2 linked regions of the Nothobranchius furzeri genome follow. The protein of the gene in region 1 binds, or shares a complex with, the protein of each later gene. Links are inferred from orthologs where the notes say so. Each region holds a gene or a part of one and is shown on either strand. Other genes may lie near its edges.

The links.
Region 2: tent4b (region 1) and zcchc7 share a complex: the UniProt entries of both Homo sapiens proteins name them as parts of the nucleolar TRAMP-like complex. The link is inferred for Nothobranchius furzeri from reciprocal best matches to the Homo sapiens genes TENT4B and ZCCHC7.

The regions. Positions count from the first base shown.
Region 1 is NC_091749.1:70,469,283-70,473,106, forward strand, and holds part of tent4b (terminal nucleotidyltransferase 4B), read left to right. Parts: intron 1-282; coding exon 283-411; intron 412-539; coding exon 540-753; intron 754-831; coding exon 832-958; intron 959-1,051; coding exon 1,052-1,152; intron 1,153-1,342; coding exon 1,343-1,542; intron 1,543-1,630; coding exon 1,631-1,777; intron 1,778-3,824. UniProt on the Homo sapiens protein: Terminal nucleotidyltransferase that catalyzes preferentially the transfer of ATP and GTP on RNA 3' poly(A) tail creating a heterogeneous 3' poly(A) tail leading to mRNAs stabilization by protecting mRNAs from active deadenylation.
Region 2 is NC_091747.1:79,080,987-79,084,810, forward strand, and holds part of zcchc7 (zinc finger CCHC domain-containing protein 7), read right to left. Parts: intron 1,504-3,824; coding exon 1,296-1,503; intron 1-1,295.

The sequences.
Region 1 (3,824 bases):
TGTACCGATGGGCATCCTTATGTTCGAACATGGTGTTCGTTATGGCCGAACTGCGGCTTGCACAGCAGTCCAATAACGAAACCCCACTCGAGTTCAGATCAGGCTCCTCCCAATTAGAAAGAAGCGGCTGCGCATAGAAAACAACTGAATTAGCTCAGAGCTTCGGGGAAACGCAACAAACCACACATGTAGAATCCGGCCTTAAAATAACCACTCAACAGCAGGTTATCTGTTACAGGGTTCATATTTTTTCATGTGTGTAATTCTTAACCTCACCTGTAGAAATACCCCGTGTTGCCTTACCTGGTCCTGGTGCTGAAGCAGTTCCTCCTGCAGAGAGACCTAAACGAGGTTTTCACTGGTGGAATTGGTTCCTACAGTCTCTTTCTCATGGCCGTGAGCTTCCTGCAGGTCTGTCTGTTTCTTTCTTGTTTAGAATAAGAAAAAAGTCGTTCCGATTTAAATTTCCGACAGAGCTGAGCTTTAATTCTCATCCACATTATGGAAATTTTATTTGCTTGAGTCCTTCTGTTCCTCAGCTTCACTACAGGGAGGACGTGTCCAGTCCCAACATCAACTACGGAGTTCTGCTGATTGAGTTCTTCGAGCTCTACGGCCGGAACTTCAACTACCTGAAAACGGGCATCAGGATAAAAGATGGCGGCTCCTACGTCGCCAAAGACGAGGTTCAGAAAAGCATGATGGACGGATACAGGCCCTCCATGCTCTACATTGAGGACCCTCTGCAGCCCGGTATGAAGAGGGCGGGAGTCAGAATTCCCTCTAAAGGTGTCACGATTTCACTTTTTTTTACTGCCTTGTGTCGGATAGAAAACGATGTTGGCAGGAGCTCGTACGGCGCCATGCAGGTGAAGCAGGCGTTCGACTACGCCTACATGGTCCTCAGCCACGCAGTGTCACCCATGGCCAAGTACTACCCCAACAACGAGAACGAGAGGTAAGGAGCTGAACCTGTCGGAACAGCTGGGAAAGCTAATGAATTCATCTACAAATAAACATGTGAGTAACAGCCTTTCCTCTTCTGCTGAAGTATCCTCGGCCGGATAATCCGGGTGACTCAGGAAGTGGACGAGTACAGGGATTGGATCCGAAAGAACTGGGGGACCCCCTCTCAGAATGACTCACTTAACAGTATGTTCTTCTCTCTCTGAGCTACAGCTAAACACACACACACACACACACACACACACACACACACACACACACACACACACACACACACACACACACACACACACACACACACACACACACACACACACACACACACACACACACACACACACACACACACACACTCATCTTTCCTCTGCTCCCGCAGGGAACGACGTGACGTTATTCGGGTCTAAGCAGCTCGACGAGCGCAACAACAACGTTCCGGACAACGAGGATGTGGTGGTGGTTCATACGCCGGCTCCCCACAGCAAGTCTTCCTCAAACCTGTCCTCTCCTCCCCTCTCCCTGCCCTCCTCTCCCTCGTCTTCTCCTCTGACGCCGTCTTTTACGTCTTCCAGCGACGCGGTGAGTCCCTGCAGCTACGGACCGAGAATGTTAAAACACATTTAAATACAGAAATAATCTTCACGTACGTGTCGTTGCCTTCTTCCAGGACTCCGATGGAACGCCGTGTAAAACGGCTAAGCAGCAGTCAGGCCGAAGCTCCAGTTCTCACAGAGAGAAGCCTGCAGTGGTCGGGAATCATCGCACGCAGAACCACGCGGCCAGCACTCCGTCTGCAGGACCCAAAGGAGGAAAGGTACTGTCTGCTTCAGCATTGCTATGCAACAATCCTTATCAATTTCTATGTATTGTTTTTATTCTTTTGCTTTTGGTTTTAGTTTCCGACTAAAGCTGATGCAAGAATTACCTACAGTGGTGTGAAAAACTATTTGCCCCATCCTGATTTCTTGTTCTTTTGCATGTTTGTCACACAAAATGTTTCTGATGATCAAACACATTTAACCGTTAGTCAAAGATAACACAAGTAAACACAAAATGCAGTTTTGAAATGATGGATTTTATTATTTAGGGAGAGAACAAAATCCAAGCCTACATTGCCCTGTGTGAAAAAGTAATTGCCCCTCTTGTTCAAAAATAACCCAACTGTGGTGTTTCACACCTGAGTTCAATTTCTGTAGCCACCCCCAAGCCTGATTACTGCCACACCTGTTTCAATCAAGAAATCACTTAAATATGAGCTGCCTGACACAGAGAAGTAGACCAAAAACACCTCAAAAGCTAGACATCAGGCCAAGATCCAAAGAAATTCAAGAACAAATGAGAACAAAAGTAATTGAGATCTATCAGTCTGGTAAAGGTTATAAAGCCATTGCTAAAGCTTTGGGACTCCAGCGAACCACAGTGAGAGCCATTATCCACAAATGGCAACAACATGGAACAGTGGTGAACCTTCCCAGGAGTGGGCGGCCGACCAAAATTACCCCAAGATCGCAGAGGCAACTCATCCGAGAGGTCACAAAAGACCCCAGGACAACTGCAGGCCTCACTTGCCTCCATTAAGGTCAGTGTTCACGACTCCACCATAAGAAAGAGACTAGGCAAAAATGGCCTGCATGGCCGATTTCCAAGACGCAAACCACTGTTAAGCAAAAAGAACATTAGGGCTCGTCTCAGTTTAGCTAAGAAACATCTCAATGATTGCCAAGACTTGTGGGAAAATGCCTCGTGGACTGATGAGACAAAAGTTGAACTTTCTGGAAGGCAAATGTCCCGTTCCATCTGGCGTAGAAGTAACACAGCATTTCAGACAAAGAGCATCATACCAACAGTAAAATATGGTGGTGGTAGTGTGATGGTCTGGGGTTGTGTTGCTGCTTCAGGAACTGGAAGGCTTGCTGTTATAAATGGAACCATGAATTCTACTGTCTACCAAAACATCCTGAAGGAGAATGTCCGGCCATCTGTTGGTCAACTAAAGCTGAAGCCATCTTGGGTGCTGCAGCAGGACAAGGACCCAAAACACACCAGCAAATCCACCTCTGAATGGCTGAAGAACAACAAAATGAAGACGTTGGAGTGGCCTAGTCAATGTCCTGACCTGAATCCTACTGAGATGCTATGGCATGACCTTAAAAAGGCGGTTCATGCTAGAAAACCCTCAAATAAAGCTGAATTACAACAATTCTGCAAAGATGAGTGGGCCAAAATTCCTCCAGAGCGCTGTAAAAGACTCGTAGCAAGTTATCGCAAACGCTTGATTGCAGTTATTGCTGCTAAGGGAGGCCCAACCAGTTATTAGGTTCAGGGGGCAATTACTTTTTCACACAGGGCCATGTAGGTTTGTATTTTGTTCTCTCCCTAAATAATAAAATCCATCATTTCAAAACTGCATTTTGTGTTTACTTGTGTTATCTTTGACTAATGGTTACATGTGTTTGATGATCAGAAACATTTTGTGTGACAAACATGCAAAAGAACAAGAAATCAGGAAAGCGGCAAATAGTTTTTCACACCAGTGTAATTATAATAACGAATTTAGAAAGAAGAAACTGAAAGAGAATTTAAGTAACAGAAAACCAGAAAGGTCTGTGAAAATCACCTTTTTGGTGCTAAGAGACATTTTCTCTCAATCTTGTTCTGTTTGGCTCTTTTCTTACATGCAGCAACAAATGGGAACACATTGTGTGTTTTTGAGAGGCTGCTGCTAAAATAAAAATCATGATAAAAATAATTTGCTGTTTTGTAAAGATTTAATCACAGCCAGATGCTCGCATCTTGGAAAAATTATGTATTTTTGCTATTTTTTGTGTTATATTTTTATGATTATATTGGCCGCTCCTCAT
Region 2 (3,824 bases), on another chromosome or scaffold:
CTTTTTTACCTTGCTGCAGACAGTTTCGTTCGCGGCTGCAAACTTCCTCAGAGCTGACGCTGATGGTGGCGTCACTTCCTACTCCGTTTATCCGCTCTCCCCTCCCCGATGATGCAGCAAAGTAAAAAAGAAACCTTTTCTGTGTTTTAAAAAAGAACCAACAATGCAATAATTGTGTTTATGTAAGAAAACAGGAAAACTACAGCAAAATAAGTGACTTTGAATACACAAAAACCAACCCTTTTGCATAAATGAATATTTTGGTAAATATGCCTTTTCTTGTTTCAGGTAGGGTGAAGACACATTAAACCCAAGACCAGCTTTGAATTAGTCAGAAGAAAAGAATCGGAGCACAGTTCGAGACTACTGAGGCTCGTCCCTTAATTTCCTTGCCTTTATTTCCTTCTCTTTTTTTGACAAAGCCCTCCCCCATTCCTCTGACTTTAAGACTCCTTCCACACCACACCCATGACCCCCAATGCGCAGACATGAGGTCAAGCTCCAAAGATCACAGAGAGAAGCCAGACGAAAGACAGAGACCTAAAATCCTGCTTTCCCATCAAAACTAGGCCAAAAACCTCAAGCCATCCCACCAGCTCCAGACCCCCTCCTTTAGTCTGCTTGTGTGTGGAGGAGGCAGTGAGCACTCTTGCAGAAACATCAGCCCAGGGAAATTCAAATGAGGAAGAAATGGTGAGGGACACAGAGAAAGAGAGAGAGGGGAGCACAATAGTGAGAAAATGGGATAAAAGAATGAGATGGAAGAGCATTAGGTAGGAGGGAGGAGGAGGGAGCTGGAGAGGTTGCTGAGGCTGCAGGTTAAGATAATGTGTAGATCTGAAGAGATTTGCAGGGAACATTTTTATTCCATTTCTGATTACTCCCATCTCTCCCTCCCACCCTCTCTCTCTTGTTTGTTTTTGATTTTAACATTATGACTGTTGGCCTCCACGTGGATGTACACGTGCATGTTGATTAGACCTGGAATACTTCAGAAACACACATGCATGCACGTGCAAACACACACACACACTTAAAGATGCATCAGAGAGGCAAATGGCTGGGTAGTGTCAGAAATGCTAAGGGCTTACAAGTTGTGAAAATGCCGACACAGATGCATTAACAGGCAGAATATTGTAGCTGTAACTGGTCCTTATCAATGTGCAGCAGGTAGACTGAATGTTCTCAAGCATTTGAATCAAACAAAATTGGTCTCTGGTTTCATTCTCCTGGCTACACATGTGCAAAAATACAAATAAATCCACAAATTTTAAAACACAAATGAACAAACACACCTGTGCTGTAGTCAGACCCTGCTTCCAGGTTGAGTGAGATGGACTGGTCTCCATCCTGCATCCCTTGACCAAGGATCATCCAGTTCTCTAGATCATCTGAACCCTCTGAGTCTGATGAATCAGTGTCTGATTCAGATTCTGAAGTGTCTGAGCTGCTGGAAATCACCGTCACTGGGACTCCAAGACTGCTTTTCCTAATCTGGATTTCCTAAATGGCCAAACAAGAAAGCATTGGATTAAAAAGTTGTTTTCTGTTTACTTACTGAACTGATCAAACCAACACCTAGTTACAAGTAAAATGTGACATATAGCACAAGTCATCTTGTGTAAAGAGAACAGATTTTTCGTGAGACACTCAATAGCAAAATACATGAACTATGCTTTTTTTTAAATACTTGACTGAGTCTTCCCAAGTACTGTTAGGAGTACTAAGAAATGCTAGTAGACTTCTTATTATTGATGTCACGGTGAGTCTAAAGCCTCTTTTACACAGTGTGGAAGAGATGTGGACTGGACAAGCTGCGGATCATGTGTGGAAAGTCTCCACAACTTTGCTCCTGAGTTCCTGTGATAACAACAAGATGTATCGTGAGGAGCTGCTTATCATATTCTGTGACCTGATATCCCTGTCATTAATAACAAAAAATGAAGCAGACAGAATGATGCAACATGAGCTTGTTTAGAAAAAAAGCAGATAGCCCTCTGGCTCATGTAATATCTTCAACTTCATGACTATCTAAAACCCAAAATCAGAAATATCCTGCATCCCAATCTTCTCTGCAATGCAACGCTTGGATTGGACTCAATGATTTTCGTTCTTTGCAGAAGCCGCATGGATCCTGACCTTGTTTGGTACACACTCAGTGATAAGCCTATTTTATACTTCTCCATCTGTTTTGGTACGGATCTACGTTCTTCTCTGTTGGTACGGAGACACACAATGCCATTATCCGTTGGTGCAAGGGTTCTCCAACAGGCATGCAAGGACGGACGAAGTCAAGCTTACTTGCCTGACAGACAGTAAGAGCGGTTACATGCGCACTGACTGACGTCTAAGTCGATCCGGTTCGATCTTATTGTAATAAGCTGGGGGTCTTTATCCTATTTTTCATGCGCATAAGAAAACCGGCTTCTCAAATCAAGTGTGTTCCACTCCGGTACAGTAGGTGGCGACACGCCCCGTTTCATGTCAGCATTCTACCGGTTAGACTGGTGGGAGTGAAGCAGACAAAAATGAAACAGGATATGCACAACAGCTGAAGGGATGCACAACAACAACGCTGCAGCAAAGTTTCTATGGAATATACTGTGCTGTTTTATTGTGTTACACATGTTGCTTTGTGACAATGGTCTTGTCAGAAGACCGCTTACGCAGTCTCATCACTTCTGTGATGCGAGCGTACTACCAGTTTACTTTGGCTGACCCATTTACATGCGGAATGTACTTGGATTGCTAACGCATTATCTGGGTGCTTCAACTCGATTAAAACCAGTTCACCTTCAACCAGACTAAAACATTTACATGCATTTTAAAAAACTTATGCAAGTCTTTTGAGGGTATTACTTCGGTTTTCTGATGCACATGTAAACGCACTGACTGAGCAGCTTGAAGAATACCTTGCGGAAAAACTCTGAAAATAGGAACGATTATTCACCCGTGAAATGGAAAAAAACCTGAAGAAGTTTGTAATTACCTAGCTGTTTACAGTCGCACTTGAGACCAATGAGAGACCTTAAGGTAGAAGCAACAAGCTATATCCTGCAACAAAAAAGTTGTTATTGAAATCTGGGACCCCATGTTGGCCATGGAAGGCCAAATTATCTCAAACTCTTTTGAACATGTTTTTTAGTTTGTTTCAGTGATTTTTATCCGATCACATTTTTTTGTGGTTCATTCACAGAGAAAATAAAGCTCGTTTTTACCTTTGCTGACATGTTTCGACGTCTACTGCTGCCCTCATCAGAGCAACTTCTGAAGTTGGTGGCGTTTCTTCCATTTATCTGTGGGTAGCAGATGACTATCTCACCTTCTATTGCCCGCCCCTTCTCCGTTGATCAAAAAAGCTACTTAGATAAGGAACATGAACAGAAATGAAGGCCCACTCATGGAACTTGATCAACCAACACACAGGAAAGGCGCAGGCAGTAGTAGGTGATATCATCCTCTGCTGCCCGCAGATAAACGGAAATGACGCCACCAGGGCTGAACGATTAATTGCATATGCAATTAAATAGCGATGTGACAAAAGGAGACTTTTCTAATCGCAAAGGCAGCGATCTGACTGGAAAGTGATTAGCACAGTGCTAATATACATGGAAAAACCCATAGGGATGCTAATGCTAATATCGTTGATTACTTTCTTACAAATTACGAACTAGGAACGTGCCAATTGATTACATTTGGAATCTAATAGGGCTGCATGAAATAAGGAAAACCTACAATATTTGATAACAATGATTAATATTGCGATGACGATATTACTTGCGATAAATAAAACTTAACTCAGGAACAAAAATGATCAAAAACAA